Arabidopsis thaliana: one gene and its partners. The protein of the gene in region 1 interacts with the protein of each later gene in a pairwise test. Each region holds a gene or a part of one and is shown in the gene's direction. Other genes may lie near its edges. The genes, in order: BPC5, ABR1, MYB39 and AT2G39000.

Region 1 (4,099 bases):
GAATCATGCGGACTTCAAGAACCGCACTCTTTTCTCATTCGGCTCTGGACTGACCAGCTCGGGAGGACAAAATGATCCCGACGATGAGACCGTATAGAGCAAGAGCTTCAGCGAAAATGAGGATAAGAATCATACCAACGAAAAGCTTTGGCTGTTGAGCATTGGCCCTGTCATCAAACCACAAATTTGCGTATCAAAATGATATAACAGGGGATAGACACTCACAATTGAATTGATATTTCTTCCATTATATTTCATCCTAGAGAAATACGCCATGGCACAAGACATCTCACAGAAGCATGTAATGAACTGATATTTCTTCCATTATAGATTCAACAGTCAGTGAATTGCACATATTCCCTACCAAATTTTCATCAAGTTGAATTGTGACACTAAACTCATGATATTCTGATTCATAAGGGAGATATACTTGTATAAAATTGAGTCTTTTAGCAAATTAGGCTATAAGAGTGAATCTGCAAAGAAGGACACAGAGGATCGTACCTGACACCAGCATCGCCAACGATACCTATGGCCATTCCAGCTGAAAGACCAGCTAGCCCACAAGCAAGACCAGAAGAGAGATGAGCATATCCGTCGAAGAGGTAGTAGGATTTAGCCTTGGGGTTAATCCCGGTACTGATGATAACAGCAATAATCAAACCATAGATACCCAACACACCAGCCATAACAACTGGGACAATAGACTTCATCACCAACTCCGGCCTCATCACACCCATAGATGCCACTCCCACACCACTCTTTGCTGTCCCGTACGCAGCTCCCATACCTTGTTAATAACACAAAGATACACACTCTTTAAGGTCACAATCTAACTATGGTTTACACAAGTAATCAACATGCCTTCGATATGAAGAAAAAGCATAATTGACATAGATGAAAGCAACTCAGCAATTTTGATGGTAACAACGGTAAATCTGTACTTATGCAATTAGTACCAGTCACAGCAATCACAAAACCTGGCAACTCCAGCAAATTTCCCTAGGTAATTTCGATATGTTGGACAAAGAACAGGACACCAAGAAATTCTTTTTTTTTTGTCGGGGACACCAAGAAATTCAACACATACAGATCTAAGCCAAAAAGTCTTAGTTTCTAGAAGATCAGCCTAGACTACATCACCAATGGAGAAAAGACAAAGAAAAAGGATTTAAAACCAGCGTAGAGCAGTTCCATAAGAATTTGATCCACTGACTAAAGATAATAAACTAGAATTTTCGAAAAGGAGAGACATATAATAGTTCAGTGATATCGCTTAGCCTAAACAAATCTAGAGAGAAATTTCTAAGAAAAATCATGAGCAACACACAGATCGGTGAACTTCTCAGGGCCGATCTAAAGCACAAAAGCAACTTTGAGGGAGATCATGAGAACAACAAACACACACAAGATCAGTGAACAATTCAGAACCAAAGAGAAAAGAAGAAGATGGAGATTATAAGAGAGTATAGATGGATATACATGAGAAGACGAGCGCAGCGGCAGCGCCAAGGAAGCCGAAGAAAGGAGCGGTCTCATCGCCACTGAAGGTAGACATCTCTCAGGCGATTCTGGATCTTAAAATATGTGCTTCCTTGGAACACCGGAATCTGATCTCTCTTTCTCTCGCAGATCTCTCTCCGTTGAATATACAAGGATTGAGTTTCCGAGGCTCAAAAGCCTGATTGATGATGAGATATACTACTACTACAACAGCGAAGCGCACACGTCGGGATCTCAACCCGGGTCTACCCGTATTCGACCCAGATTAGTTGCCTTATTCTTAGGCCCATCATACGGCCCACTAGAATGATCCACCAGAACCAAAATCATATCCTGTTTGGCTTATATTTGGAGAGATTGAAACAGAAACGTCTTTGCATTTTTACGAGTAAGATGGATAGACAATAATAACCTTCTTGCTTGCTCTCGTTTAGCAGTTTTAAGACAAGGGTATATTAGTAAATTGAACCGAGAGTACCTGGCTCGTCTTCCACTTCTTGCCACATTACACAGACACCATTTCCAAGTATCCTCAGATCTTTCTCGATTTCCGTTGCTTGTTTCTCCTGAAGGCTCGTTGAAATCCGTAAGTCTTCGATCGTTAATCGTGTTCTTGACCTATCTGTTAATTTCAGCATGCCAAGTTTTTCTCTCTACAATTTTCATTTTCTTCGAATTTTGGTTCTTCTGGGAGCTCTCTCGTCGTTGCTTTAACTTGAAATTCGAACTCTATATATGTTCCCGCGTATCTTACTTGCTCCATTGTTTTCTTCATCGTTTGGTTTGGATGGTATTACGCTGACTTGTGGGATATGATACGATTTCTCGATTTATTTGGGTTAAATGTATGTTATGGAACTGCTTATGATTTGGAGTATTTCTGTTTTTAGTTACTCGTCAGCCTAGTTTCACAATGTTTGATATCAATTTCTCCATTGCAGTTGAAAGTAAGAGGATGGAGAGTGGTGGGCAGTATGAAAATGGGCGCTACAAGCCCGATTACTACAAAGGAACACAATCTGTGGTAAGCAAAAACACTTGAAGAAGCAGATCACTAAAACAAAAAAACATGTTTTCGTTACTTTGAATGAAACCTAAGTACAAACTGTGTGTGTGTGCAGTAGAATGTGATGCCGAAAAAGGAGCAACATAATGCATTGGTGATGAATAAGAAGATCATCTCCATCCTTGCTGAGAGGGACGCAGCTGTCAAGGAAAGAAACGAAGCGGTTGCAGCAACTAAGGAAGCATTAGCCTCTCGTGATGAAGCACTTGAGCAGCGGGACAAAGCTCTCTCTGAAAGAGATAATGCTATCATGGAGACAGAAAGTGCGTTAAATGCTCTTCGATACCGTGAAAACAATCTTAACTACATTTTGTCGTGTGCCAAGCGCGGTGGTTCCCAAAGGTTTATAACTGAAGAAAGCCACTTACCTAATCCTTCCCCTATATCAACTATTCCACCTGAAGCAGCCAACACGAGACCGACCAAAAGGAAGAAAGAGAGCAAGCAGGGAAAGAAAATGGGCGAGGATCTGAACCGTCCAGTTGCTTCTCCCGGAAAGAAAAGCAGAAAGGATTGGGACAGTAACGATGTCCTAGTCACGTTCGATGAGATGACAATGCCAGTGCCCATGTGCACTTGCACCGGGACTGCTCGTCAGTGTTATAAGTGGGGCAATGGCGGCTGGCAATCATCTTGCTGCACAACCACTTTGTCTGAGTATCCGCTCCCGCAGATGCCAAACAAGCGGCATTCCCGAGTTGGCGGCAGGAAAATGAGTGGAAGTGTCTTCTCCAGGTTACTTAGTCGTTTAGCTGGTGAAGGGCATGAGCTTTCCTCTCCGGTTGATCTCAAGAACTATTGGGCTAGGCACGGCACCAACCGCTACATCACTATCAAGTAACCAAGATTTATGAGCCAGTAGCCACTATATATCAAGTATTGCTCTCTCGTCATCCCTTTTGATTTTTTTTTTGTCGCTTTAGATTTAACAATTAGGATCAAAAGTCGAATGAAAGATGAAGTTAGGCTCGTTATTGTTTTTACTGTCGATAGTTCCGTTAAAAGGCAAATATCTAGTAGTACTGTTTTGACTTGGTTTTGTTGTTTTATGTAAATAGTTACATTATCATCTACTTTGTATTATTGTAATTTCAAAATTCGAAATCTCACCCATTAAATCGCAAGAATTTGAACAACTTCAACAAATAAAAAGGAAAAAAATTTAATAATCTCCTTATATTAGAGTCAAGCTTCAACGACTTATGTAGTCTCTTCATCTCAAGCTTACTCTCAAAGTTCCACTTAAAGAAAAGAAAAAAAAGCATGGACCAAAAGCTAAAGACCACCAACACTAGTCCACCACCGCAACCACCAAAGCGTTGGCTTAACCACATCAAGACATTTTTCGACGTTCCTAACCCGAGAATCGTTAGAATCTTTTTTATAGGCAGTTTTGCCACATTTTTCTCCGGAATTGCTTTTGCTTTTGAATGGACATTAAACGGCAAGAACCATAGCGGATTCCAATGGATCATCTACTACGCCTTGTCCCTGATCATTCTTCCTATTCTCATCTGGCTAGGTCTCGGT
Region 2 (4,660 bases), on another chromosome or scaffold:
TCTCTAAATTTGTTTTATTTTACTACTAATTTTTATTTGATAGACATATTTAGGTATTTTTATCGCCTAAGTGATTAAAAGCTACTGTATGTTTTAGTGGAATATAATTAAACTGGATTAGTATAAAACAGGGCATCTTAGTTTCTAAAAAGGGAAATGACCGGTGAAAAGGTTTATCCAGTTTTTTTTTTTTTTTTGTCGTGGTTTATCCAGATTAATTATACTGTCGTACAATATTTTTGTTCAGCTTCTTTAAGAAAATAAACTGTCGCACTGACTAATTAATTAGTTAATAGAGACTTGAGCATCAGCCTAAGAAAAATGTCACATCAATAACAATCGTTTTTTTTTCTCCCATCTTTGCAAATTATGTATTATTAGCTTCGTTAAATCTGCGACTTTTTAACAATACGAAAATGTCTCGTGTATAACAGGTAAAAATAACAACTACGTCAACTTGTGAGCACAATTGCTTAGATTGGTTAAAAACAAAAGTCCAACGATGCGTTTCGAGATTATCCTCAAGTTAACTCTCAACCAAAAAATAATAGAAAATCCAAAAGATATCAATATAATAATTATTCTGCGTTCAGACTAGAATCTACGAGTACATATCTGCAAGTTCTGAAATCTGAACCATCCTGAGCTTAATTGCAAATATGGACAACAATATGTTTTTCTTAACCAAAAAGTTTTTGTGCAGCCTCTATTAGACTCGATTCGGGCGAATAAGAAAACAACTCTTATAGTTAAAAGAAAAACACATCACAAATCCTAAAATCATATTTTCTTCTGAACAATGCGTTTCTATTTTTTTTCTATTTTCTTCTGAACAATGCGTTTCTATTATTTTCTTCTGAAAAATCGAAAACGAAGAAAATAATACAAGGTGTGGGTCAAACGGTCAAAGATAAGAGACGAAGGTTGAAACAAGTGGGCCGTAGGGTGAGGCCCAAACGGTCACGAGCATTAGCCTTACCATCACCGACACCGTCCACAAACGGAGCATCTGACGTCGACCAGAACCGACACGTGCAACACACGCGCATTCGTACGGAACGGCTCGTCTCTCAACTTGACCTTCAAGCTCACCGTTTAGACAAAATGCAAAAATAATCTTATTTTATAAATATTCCATTTAATGGTTTTACCTCTTTTTCAGCACCGAACCGTAAATATAGTAATTAATAATCGTTTCTGAATGCCTCCATATTTTAACAGTGTTTATAACTTCTTAAAGTTTTTACTATGCAAGTTGTCTTATGACACAGAGCTAATATACATAATTAATTCATTACCTTATTTATTTAATTTACTAGACTTGTTAAAGTATTCTTCAGAACTGTTCATAGAGTATAGGTCGCATATAGTATATTTACAAAAATATATAATTACTCACAAGTTGCGAAAAGATTCAGATACGTTTCATATAATAGGACCCAATTTTTTACAAAATTTGTTCAAATTGAGTTAAATCATCAAAACCAAATTTTCTTCTGTTATAGATCAAATTTATAAAAATAGCTATTTGCTATATTATATATATATATATATATATATAAACATTAGTTATTAAAAAAAAAACTGCGTGTTTCCAGTTCACACGGGTACAGAGAGAAGCCGACTCATTTTCATTTGGCGGCGCTGAAACCATACAAAGTAATTAACACAAGAAAATTAAATTTGTATATCTATCAGCTAAACCTCGTCCTTTGTCTTAAAAAACACATCTTCTAAAATCTCTGTCTTTCTTTCTTCCTCTTTGTCTCTGTTTCTTGTTTCTCTCTCTCTCTCTCTACAGAGTTTTCTTTCCCTCGAAGAAAAAGAATATTTTTAAATTTAATTTTCTCTGCGTTTATAAGCTTTAAGTTTCAGAGGAGGAGGATTTAGAAGGAGGGTTTTGTATGTGTGTCTTAAAAGTGGCAAATCAGGAAGATAACGTTGGCAAAAAAGCCGAGTCTATTAGAGACGATGATCATCGGACGTTATCTGAAATCGATCAATGGCTTTACTTATTCGCAGCCGAAGACGACCACCACCGTCATAGCTTCCCTACGCAGCAGCCGCCTCCATCGTCGTCGTCCTCATCTCTTATCTCAGGTTTCAGTAGAGAGATGGAGATGTCTGCTATTGTCTCTGCTTTGACTCACGTTGTTGCTGGAAATGTTCCTCAGCATCAACAAGGAGGCGGTGAAGGTAGCGGAGAAGGGACTTCGAATTCGTCTTCTTCCTCGGGGCAGAAAAGGAGGAGAGAGGTGGAGGAAGGTGGCGCCAAAGCGGTTAAGGCAGCTAATACTTTGACGGTTGATCAATATTTCTCCGGTGGTAGCTCTACTTCTAAAGGTTAGTTTTGTTGGGTTTTTATTTTGTCCTCTATAAACACACGTACCCTGTTTCGGATTTAAACCACATTAGTACACACCATTTTGATAAAATTTTACATATTTCGGTTGTGTATCCACAAAACATAAAACATTTAAATTATAAGATCATTCTATTTGATAAATGTTTTCAATAATTTTATGATGTAGTATATACATCAAGGTATGAGTCACATCAAATGTTTGTAACACAAAATCTAAATACAGTTGCACTTTTGTTGTCCTCACGCAATCTACAAAGCAACATGTCTTATATTTAGTTTTTTTATTCTTTTCTTTTATCGTTTTCTAAAATATGGCGAAGTTAGATATACTTTATAATAATTTAAATATAAAGAAAAATGAGGAATAAAAAATAGTAATTAGCGTAAAGATGTAAATAAATATTTCGAAGTGTTGACAAAAATAAATATAATAACGAAACTGTACTTGATTATCTTAAGACATATACTTTAGAATTGTTGTAAAAAGGTTGGATATTTAATTAAGAAAATGATGATGATGATGATGATATGCCAAAAGAATTTATCTCCCTCCAATTGCATCAAGAGTCGTTTTCCACTTCCTTTTTTTTTCTACTTGTTCATTCCTTTTGTCACCCATTTGCCTCATCACTTTCTCATACTCGCTCTTAAAAAAAAAACTTTATAATATCTTTATTGGAGACATTAATATTATCGATTCTTTTTCTTATGTAAGAAAGTGTTAATTCACGAGTGACAACAAAAGTGTGAAATTTTACATGTTTGTTTGTTTATTTGCAGTGAGAGAAGCTTCGAGTAACATGTCAGGTCCGGGCCCAACATACGAGTATACAACTACGGCAACTGCTAGTAGCGAAACGTCGTCGTTTAGTGGGGACCAACCTCGGCGAAGATACAGAGGAGTTAGACAAAGACCATGGGGAAAGTGGGCGGCTGAGATTCGAGATCCATTTAAAGCAGCTAGAGTTTGGCTCGGTACGTTCGACAATGCTGAATCAGCAGCAAGAGCTTACGACGAAGCTGCACTTCGGTTTAGAGGCAACAAAGCCAAACTCAACTTCCCTGAAAACGTCAAACTCGTTAGACCTGCTTCAACCGAAGCACAACCTGTGCACCAAACCGCTGCTCAAAGACCGACCCAGTCAAGGAACTCGGGTTCAACGACTACCCTTTTGCCCATAAGACCTGCTTCGAATCAAAGCGTTCATTCGCAGCCGTTGATGCAATCATACAACTTGAGTTACTCTGAAATGGCTCGTCAACAACAACAGTTTCAGCAACATCATCAACAATCTTTGGATTTATACGATCAAATGTCGTTTCCGTTGCGTTTCGGTCACACTGGAGGTTCAATGATGCAATCTACGTCGTCATCATCATCTCATTCTCGTCCTCTGTTTTCCCCGGCTGCTGTTCAGCCGCCACCAGAATCAGCTAGCGAAACCGGTTATCTCCAGGATATACAATGGCCATCAGACAAGACTAGTAATAACTACAATAATAGTCCATCCTCCTGATGACTTGCTTCATTTTATTTGTTTCACTATAGAGTAATAGAAAACAGGAAAATGATTATATGTTATAGAGTTATTTTTCCAAATATTATAGGGTTTAGGTTGTTTGTATTGTTCTGCTTTCATCCTCTCATGCTTTTTTTCTTAATTTATTATATTTTTGCATTATAATTTCGTTTCATTGTAACAAACATTAAAAAGACCACATGGAGAAAGGAAAAAAAAGAGAGTTTTGTATATAATCTTGCAAGGTCTCCTAAAGAACACAAAAAAAATGTGTTCGAACCAAGCAGAGAAAGAAAACTCAAATGATTATGTTAGAACGAGAGCCTGAAAGATTCTTTCCACCGATGTGTGTGGCTAGACCGGGTTCTCAAGCTCTTAGTGCAACTTTATGAACCATTGTTTCTTTGTGAATTTGGTGACAACTCTTTTCAACAAGATCCAAAAGCTTCTCCAAGTTTGTTGCCCACGAGTTGAGGATTTCGTTGCTGTCTTTAACAATCTGGAAGCAGATTATTCCTGATGGTCTGTCGATTTTTGCTATCAAGGCTTTGGACACAACCATTTCAGATAGATGCTTCTCTGCTTCCTGAAATATAATGAAACGGTAAGAAGAGATTTAAACATGTACTGGTACACTTAAGAGTATTTTGAAACTATATTTACCTCAGTGGTTAGGCATAAAAGTTCTGCAAGTCTCTTAAAGGTAATCCTTGAGTAGTACTTTGAGACAACGAGAATATTCTGCAGAAGATGTGAAGAATTTGTAAAGTTAAGA
Region 3 (4,123 bases), 8.3 Mb from region 1:
TAAGCCGCGTAACAATAACATTACATAGAATTTTAAGGCTTGTCTTATCTATACTCGTTGACAATGTCAAATAAATATAGCATAGGAATTTTATACTATATGGTGCTACTAATTACATGGAACCCTTAATATATACGACTGTTTAAATAGTCAACGTGATAAATAGAGAGTTGGTAAGTGTTTGGTTTTAATTTGACAATGTGAAACAAGCCTGAACATTGACCCTTTAAACCATAACAGTAATTTAACGGTAAAAAAATAGTAATTAAGTATGTAAACAAGATCTTCCGTGAGAGTGAAATTAAACCTCATTATTTAAATTATACTAGTAAACATTTTCTCCAACCGTAGGAAATTTCGTTTTATGTTTTTTTTCTAATTTGTCGTGATCCTTCTCATTCCTTTGAAGACAACAAGATTCTATTATGAAAGATTTTTTCAAAGATCCAATAGTATAATACAACGTAATATATAATACCAACTTTATAGTTACACCTTCTAATAAAATCCACTTACTCGTTTATGTGTTCCTCACGCTATCGACTTAATGTTTGGAACCCGCGAGAGAAGTTCTTTAATTAAATTAGTCAATCGAAAAAAGCTATCCATTTCCTTTATCAAAGTAAATCAATTCGAAAATCTCGTATTAACTTGATCATCCAAATCCATATGTATATTTTCGAATAATATAAAACAGAAATTGAGATAACCTATACTAAAGAGAGTTTCACGTAAAAAATTTATATTTTCACGTAACAAAAAATTACAAAACAATTAAACAAAAAACAAATGATAATAGCATAGGTAATTTTTTGTGACTTGAAATTCAGAACGTATGGTAGGCACAAACGACGGTTTGGTAACAATAAGGAGAATAATAATAATCTTCGTTTGAATTCAAATAGAGGAAGAAGAAGCGAAAGGGTAGGCTTTGATCAACCATGAGACATTGAAGCAGGTAGAGATAATTCTTTGAATGCGGTGGAAGCAATCACATAATGATAAATGCAAGATTCCAATTTTGATGAACTTTGCAATGAGAACATAATATTGCTTTTCAATTAAATATTAGTTAAATATACCCTTCAAGAAAAGTAGTTAACAAGTTTAATTTATAATCATGCATTTATGCGAAATTCTTATTTGTAGGTTTTAATCTAAATAGAGAAATATACACATATATAGGAAATATTCAAAAATGATCACATGCATGTTTAATTTTTGAAAAATGTGGCTTTCTTTTATAACATAATTTCAATAAGATTAGTTTGAATTGCAGATTATGAAATAGTATATAATTTGTGATTGTTTTACAAGTAAAAGAGCGTAAGAAATTTGGTCCCAAAAAAAAAAGATTTTAGTAGGGAAATATCAACATTTTATTCTAACATAGCTAGGGCAAATATTTTATACATCTAACCCACAATAACAAAATCCATTAATGCATTAACAATTATTCGTATTCTTTTATATAAAAATTATTTGTTTGAACATCATCCCCACGAATTACTCTTCGAAGTTCGAACGCCATGACACATATCATATTATCAGTACCTAATCTTGATTTTGTTATAACTATTTTGGTTATTTAACTGATTTATTGAATGACTCATATATTGTAGACTTATGACACACTATGAAAAATAATATTTACACCAAATTCTGACGAATGCATACACAACTTTACTTTAGTTATGTCATGACTGCTTTTCACATCTATATATACATACAAACCTAATCGTAGGGAGCGACGAAACGAAGATCATATCTTCAAAAACCTCTGATAAGTTTTGGTTCTTGATATAAACAAAATGGGAAGATCACCGTGTTGCGATCAAGACAAAGGCGTGAAGAAAGGACCGTGGCTGCCAGAAGAAGATGATAAGCTCACTGCTTATATAAACGAGAATGGTTATGGGAATTGGCGGTCGCTTCCTAAGCTCGCTGGACTTAACCGCTGTGGCAAGAGCTGTCGGCTCCGGTGGATGAATTATCTCCGGCCTGATATCCGGAGAGGCAAATTTTCCGATGGAGAAGAGAGTACTATCGTTAGACTCCATGCCCTCCTTGGCAACAAGTAAGACTATTTTTTTTTCGTTAAAGCTTTTATGCTATTTTGTTAGCACTAAATGATTTAGGTCTCGCTTGTTTCAGACGTAATTATGTGTTCCTGTTTACATGTTTTTTTCATAATTTTAAAATATAAACCATTTTCAGTTCTTTTAAAATTAATATAAAGTGCAAAAACAAATTTACGTATGGATACCATTGCATAGTTTATTATTGCTATTATAGAATTCACATCCTCAAGACTATAGTCTAAACTTTAGTTTATAATTCTCTAACCATACAAAAGGTTAAGTTTTCGTTGGTTCATTTTACTAACGTTTGAGTCGAATTTTTACCATACAGATGGTCGAAAATTGCGGGTCATCTTCCAGGAAGAACAGATAATGAAATTAAAAACTATTGGAACACTCATATGAGGAAGAAGTTATTGCAAATGGGGATTGATCCAGTGACGCACGAGCCAAGAACCAACGATCTTAGCCCTATCCTCGATGTTTCTCAAATGCTCGCGGCAGCAATCAACAATGGCCAATTTGGTAACAATAACCTCCTCAACAATAACACCGCTTTGGAAGATATTCTTAAACTCCAATTGATCCATAAAATGCTTCAAATCATAACCCCCAAAGCCATACCAAACATCAGTAGCTTCAAGACCAATTTACTGAATCCTAAACCAGAACCGGTAGTCAATAGCTTCAATACCAATTCAGTGAATCCTAAACCGGATCCCCCGGCTGGTCTTTTCATAAACCAAAGTGGAATCACTCCTGAGGCCGCCTCGGATTTCATTCCATCTTATGAAAATGTTTGGGATGGTTTTGAAGATAACCAGCTTCCTGGTTTGGTTACGGTTTCTCAAGAGAGTTTAAATACAGCAAAACCGGGTACCAGTACGACCACCAAGGTAAATGATCATATCAGAACCGGTATGATGCCGTGTTACTATGGTGATCAACTACTAGAAACCCCATCTACTGGTTCGGTATCGGTCTCTCCCGAGACAACCAGTTTGAACCATCCCAGTACAGCTCAACACTCATCCGGTTCAGATTTCCTAGAGGACTGGGAGAAGTTTCTTGATGATGAAACAAGTGATTCTTGCTGGAAAAGTTTCTTAGAGTAAGATCTATCTCCGCATTGATTAACATAGTATATGATTTATATTTATGGTTTATTAACAGAATTGTTTTATCTAATCTGCAGCTTAACGTCACCCACATCGTCACCTGTCCCATGGTAGAACTGGATTTTGTTCGGGTCGTATACTCATAGTTTTAAAGACAATACATACACAAAGATATTCGATTAATACTCTTAATTTTGTTTGTTATTAAATATTGATTTAAAGTTTGTATATTTTCTTGTAAAGGAATTCTTATTTGTAATTTGTTCTTATTTGGTTTGGTTGTTGTGTAAAGAAACACATTGTAATCACCATTCTATTATTGCCCATTTAATAACAATATTTTGGATAAATATCTACGAGCAGTCTAATTTATACAATCAAACAACTCTATGGAAACATAACTTGATTCACAAGTTTAATAAAAATTCACCTATTTGCCAATAAGGAAATATATTAAAATGTCAATCTCTCGATGTTTCTAACAGAAAGATTGACAAAAAATCAAAAAACAAACAGTCACCAAGAATGGAGGAAGAAGAGAAAAACCCTAGTTCGATCTACATAGTTGCCGATCTTCTAGAAGATATATTCCTTCGACTTCCCTTGAAATCCATTCTCATATCGAAAAGCGTCTCAAAACGATGGAGATCAATTCTTGAGTCGAAGACGTTCGTGGAGAGACGAATGAGTCTTCAAAAGAAGCGCAAAATCCTGGCTGCTTACAACTGCAAATGCGGCTGGGAGCCTAGGCTCCTCCCCGGGTCGTCGCAGTGCAAAGGGAACGAAGAGATCGTCTATCTGCACTGCAACGCCGCACAACCCTCGTTTACTTGCGACGGTTTGGTCTGCATTCTCGAACCACGTTGGATAGACGTTTTGAACCCCTGGACAAGGCAACTCCGGCGATACGGATTCGGATTTGGA
Region 4 (4,512 bases), on another chromosome or scaffold:
GATCGACCTCCATGAACCATGAACATTAAATCTTGTCCACGTGGTGTCCGTGGTAGACCCATCTAATTTACGTAGCTAGGCCCGTCCATGGCAGAGTAGGATTGGACACCAAGATAAATACAAGAATATATTTGAAGCGAAGCATTTGGCGGATTATAGAGTTCTACAAGACTACAACAGATGATGCATCACTTAATAATACCAAAAAAAAAAACAAATGTCCCACTTAATAATCGAGCGACGACCATTATTTTTTTCTGTAAATAAAATGAAAATGAATTGCTTCATGAATTATATTACTCATTTTTCCTAGAGATGGGACCGTTCATAAAAAGTATTACGGATATACTGATAGCAAAACATTTTTTTTTTTTCTACGCAATTTTGTAATTTACAACTTATCTAAACACATTCGGATTCATTGTAATATTAATTCTATGTATACAATTCATCTTCATCCATATTTTTATAACATCTTCTTGTTTTGAATTTTTATTTTTTACATGAGTCACATGACTATAAGTCAATAATATCATTTTGCTGCTAATACGTGCTGTAATTAAAAAAGAAGAAGCAAAAAGACTCAAATTGTTACTATAAACAAGAATGTTTAAAACACGTGAAAAAATTGGTATAGGGCTGCTTAAAAGTAAAAAACAATTGCGTGAAATACAAAGGCTTCATTTAAGGTTCTCCATTCTTTGTTCCGACAACTTTATTGTTCATAACAAATAGCTTACCCAAAACGGCTTAAACAAACATTCGATAAAGTATTAATTAATGTAAGGAAAAAAAAAGTAACAGAACAATAACTATTAAAAAGTGACCCATGTAAGATATCGAAAATGATTCTGCATTTTTTTTTAAAAAGATGAAGAAGTGAATCTTCTGTCGCGGAAACTTCTAAGCAGGAGACATGGCATCTGGACACCACACGGTTAGTACACTTCTATGATGTCGGCGAGAGACGTGGCGACATTTGTGGATCGTGATGAGCTTGTGGTTGGGTCGGAATGTACATTGTCTTTTTGGATAATGGTTTTGTGGCTCACCAAATATCATTGGATTAGATCAGAACTTCGAAATCTAACTTGTCCACGTCAACTTTTCACTGAAATTTCTTTCCTGTAGTTTGTTTCTTTCTCATTATTTAGATGGAAGTTTTGACAATTCAAGCGACATCAATATAAAGTATTTTTGTTTGGGATTTAAGGATGGTCTCCTACTATTTCAAATTTGTGATGAGTTTAGTGTCGACTAAAGGGAAAAAGTTATATTCGTTTTTGAATTTGGATGTTTTGAATTCGTAAAAAAAATATAAACGCGCTTAGCTTATTTGTTTTATTTTCTACATGTAAATTTAAATTTATAAGAAAATTGCATAATATGGTGGAATAAGTACTGATTTTAAGGAAATTTATAAGAAAATAAATTGTAATTTATGATGAAAATAGTTAAATAGCTAAAAAAATTAGCGGATTAAATCCAAATACAAATCATGCAAATCAGATTTCTACGTCACATTGGTGTGTTTATGAAAATCCAAATACAAAACATAGATAAGTAAACTTACAATAAACTGATAACAGTAGTCTTCGTAAAGTTCAAATACGAAGCATTTTTTTTTTGTGGAATGATGAATGGTAATGGTATAATATGATGAAGATGATGATGATGAATGCGGTGGGTGAAGATGATGATGGATGATGTTGATGATGGTGGTGGTCATATGGTGATGATGGTGACATATGCTGATGTTATATAATGTTGATAATGATGATGATGCTTGTATGAAGATGGGGATTGGGGATGATGTTTATGGTATGATAATGATGTTGTTTATGAAGACGGATGATGCGGTGTGGATAGTGTTCATCTCTTTTCTTGTTTTGGTTGCCAAACCATTTCACTACAGATTTTTTTTTTGGCATAACAGTAGCTACAAACTTTTGAAAAAAGAAAGAGCAAATTTGATTCTAGACGTTTTGGCAATGTGGATTGGTGGGGTAAAAAAAACGTGTGAATTGGTGGGAAAAAAAAAGAGTTTATTTCCCTAACGCGAATTATTAAATAAAAAGATTACTATTAGTGAATAGTGACTTAGGATAATCCTGCTGGTTCTTTATTAAAATCGTGATTGGTGCGATTTGACCGGTCGAACCGGCCGGTTTGTTGTTAAAATCGTTTGTGTTGGGTAAGAAATAAAGATAGCTAGAGAAGCAGAAAAGGCACGGCGAACGGAGAAAGATGCGGAGCACACCGTTGGGGACGACGGCGGTTTCACCAGCTTCAATCAAACACAACTCTTATGGGTATGGCCGCTTCGTTTCCTCTTCAGGAGTCTCTAATTTCTCTATCCATCGTCGGAGACGCCACTCGTCGTTTTCTATCTCTCAAGCTCCTTCACAAATCAACTCAGGTTTGATGATGAGCTATGATTTAGATCGAGTTCCAATTCTTAAGCCATCCCCAGATGAATTCAGTTAGATGCTCTCTAGTGTAATTGACCATGCCTGATTGAAAGATTCAATTTTAACTCATTTTTCAACGAAACAATTGATTGCGCATGTTTGCTTCATGAAGCTTTAAATTTTCAGGCTTTTGCATGATTTCAGCAAATCAGTTGTTTTATTAAACCTGAGGACCTCTTGTCACTGAGTCTTTTAGGAATAGTTTAGAGTTTTCACCGGGTTTGAGATTCTGGTTACAGAAGAAAAGTGTGAACATAGTTGTTGCTTCTATCAATGGGTGATAAATTTGTTCTTTGATGAATATATTTGTTATCTTTGTATGTAGGAGCTTGCAATGCAAGTCAAATAGTTGATCTTTTTCCAGCGGTTTCACCTGAAATCGTTGTTCGTGAAGCACGGTTAGAGGACTGTTGGGAGGTGGCAGAGACTCATTGCAGCTCTTTCTTCCCGGGATATTCGTTCCCGCTTGATGTTGTTCTAAGAGTAGATAGGTTAATGGCAATGGTGATGGGATTTTCTATTCCACCTGGGTGCCAGAGGACTTGTTTAGTGGCTGTGATAGGTAGTTCAGTAGATGAAACCATCTGCTTTGGAAGTGATGATTTCAAAATTGGAGCTTTTGATGCAAAGATCAGCTTAAACAAAGGTTATGTTGCTGGAATCTTGACTGTTGATACTGTGGCTGATTACCTTCCAAGAAAAGGACCTCTCCGCCAGAGAAGGTTCGCTTTTCGCCTTAGCTTTTATTTCTGTCGTCAAGCACTGTGCCTCTGTTCTTAAGACTAAGGACCTAGTCTCAAAAATGTGCAACTAGGATAACATAAAGTTTCGCAATCTTTAGCTAATCTTGGTGAAAGAAGGATCTTGTCATTTTTTGTTGGGAATGTGTTGTGCTCGGATCTGGATTCGTTTATTGTCTTATAATGATTTGATGGTGTGTTCCTAATTTAAAGCCAGGACCGGGATCGCTTATGTATCAAATGTGGCAGTTCGAGAGAATTTCCGGCGCAAAGGAATAGCCAAGAGACTCATATGGAAAGCAGAGGCTTTAGCCAAGAACTGGGGATGTAGAGCTATCGGCCTTCACTGTGATCTCAACAACTTAGGAGCAACTAAACTTTACAAAGATCAAGGTTTCAGATCCATCAAGATCCCTGAAGGAGCGACTTGGCCTCAACCGAAGACATCTCCTGACACCAGGTTTACCTTCATGATGAAGCTAGTGAACAACAACAATACACAAGCTCTTGAACAGTTTCGGTAAATCCGAGGAAAAAGGAAATTTGAATTCCGTTTGTTGTTGAAATATAGCTCTGATTATGTAATTGTAAATATGGTTGCAGTCTTGTGTAAATGCTATTGTCTATAATATTTCGACCAAATACGCTTTTTCAGTTTTTAAGGTCTTGTAGCACCGTGAACTTTTTGCTTCTCCCGCAAGCATGTTTCAAGACATTCCAAGTCTTAGCCATACTTGATTTATATACCAATGTAATAAAAAAAAACATCTAAAATCGCATTCGTCGCACTATGCTAATTAAGATCCATAGTTTAAACCTACATAGCGTATTCGAAACTCAAGATTAATATCACTGGAACAAGAAGAAATCGGCATGGAAGTCATAAAGATATCACACATTGGACATATTATTGTGTGAAGAAATTCTGACGCCACTAACATGTAATTTTATCTGTCGAACATACTTAGCTTCATTTTCTATATCTCAAACTTGTATTTTACGAACTCCTTTCTGCAAGGCAGCAAGTTTGATGATATTGAGCGATTCTACCAAATCATCACATAGTACATGAGGGTCTGGAATCACTGTTTTGTCGACTGCTAGATTGATGATAATCTTGTTTATGTAGCTCACGAAATAGATAATAAGAGCCTTGTTCAACAACAAACATAAACAAACTGTTAGTTAATTTCATCAAAGTTTTCTATGATTTCTAAAAAAGTTAAACTGATATACAAGTAGGGCATGAGGCGCATGATTAGTATACTTACTTGTGATCCACCCAATGAACTTGCTATTGC

What was found.
Region 2: the proteins of BPC5 (region 1) and ABR1 interact in a two-hybrid assay, tested with the Arabidopsis thaliana proteins (one large-scale study listed by BioGRID).
Region 3: the proteins of BPC5 (region 1) and MYB39 interact in a two-hybrid assay, tested with the Arabidopsis thaliana proteins (one large-scale study listed by BioGRID).
Region 4: the proteins of BPC5 (region 1) and AT2G39000 interact in a two-hybrid assay, tested with the Arabidopsis thaliana proteins (one large-scale study listed by BioGRID).

The regions. Positions count from the first base shown.
Region 1 is NC_003075.7:18,144,789-18,148,887, reverse strand, and holds BPC5 (basic pentacysteine 5), read left to right. Parts: upstream 1-1,996; 5' UTR 1,997-2,089; intron 2,090-2,444; 5' UTR 2,445-2,458; coding exon 2,459-2,527; intron 2,528-2,624; exon of another isoform or gene 2,625-2,627; coding exon 2,628-3,410; 3' UTR 3,411-3,537; downstream 3,538-4,099. Other genes in the region: VHA-C3 (vacuolar-type H[+]-ATPase C3), read right to left, coding at 35-167, 505-790, 1,483-1,558; AT4G38905 (uncharacterized protein), read left to right, coding at 3,833-4,099. UniProt on the Arabidopsis thaliana protein: Transcriptional regulator that specifically binds to GA-rich elements (GAGA-repeats) present in regulatory sequences of genes involved in developmental processes.
Region 2 is NC_003076.8:25,889,775-25,894,434, forward strand, and holds ABR1 (Integrase-type DNA-binding superfamily protein), read left to right. Parts: upstream 1-1,674; 5' UTR 1,675-1,904; coding exon 1,905-2,343; intron 2,344-3,145; coding exon 3,146-3,882; 3' UTR 3,883-4,114; downstream 4,115-4,660. Other genes in the region: RPN5B (regulatory particle non-ATPase subunit 5B), read right to left, coding at 4,253-4,471, 4,549-4,626.
Region 3 is NC_003075.7:9,881,057-9,885,179, reverse strand, and holds MYB39 (myb domain protein 39), read left to right. Parts: upstream 1-1,747; 5' UTR 1,748-1,811; coding exon 1,812-2,077; intron 2,078-2,412; coding exon 2,413-3,192; coding exon of another isoform or gene 3,193-3,196; exon of another isoform or gene 3,197-3,276; coding exon 3,277-3,313; 3' UTR 3,314-3,581; downstream 3,582-4,123. Other genes in the region: AT4G17780 (F-box and associated interaction domains-containing protein), read left to right, coding at 3,725-4,123.
Region 4 is NC_003071.7:16,285,677-16,290,188, reverse strand, and holds AT2G39000 (Acyl-CoA N-acyltransferases (NAT) superfamily protein), read left to right. Parts: upstream 1-1,926; 5' UTR 1,927-2,247; coding exon 2,248-2,419; intron 2,420-2,796; coding exon 2,797-3,193; coding exon of another isoform or gene 3,194-3,251; exon of another isoform or gene 3,252-3,424; coding exon of another isoform or gene 3,425-3,428; coding exon 3,429-3,735; 3' UTR 3,736-3,964; downstream 3,965-4,512. UniProt on the Arabidopsis thaliana protein: Protein acetyltransferase with dual specificity triggering both N-alpha-acetylation (NTA), with a large spectrum of modified N-termini, including methionine, alanine, serine, threonine and to a lower extent glycine and valine as substrates, and epsilon-lysine acetylation (KA) of several plastid proteins.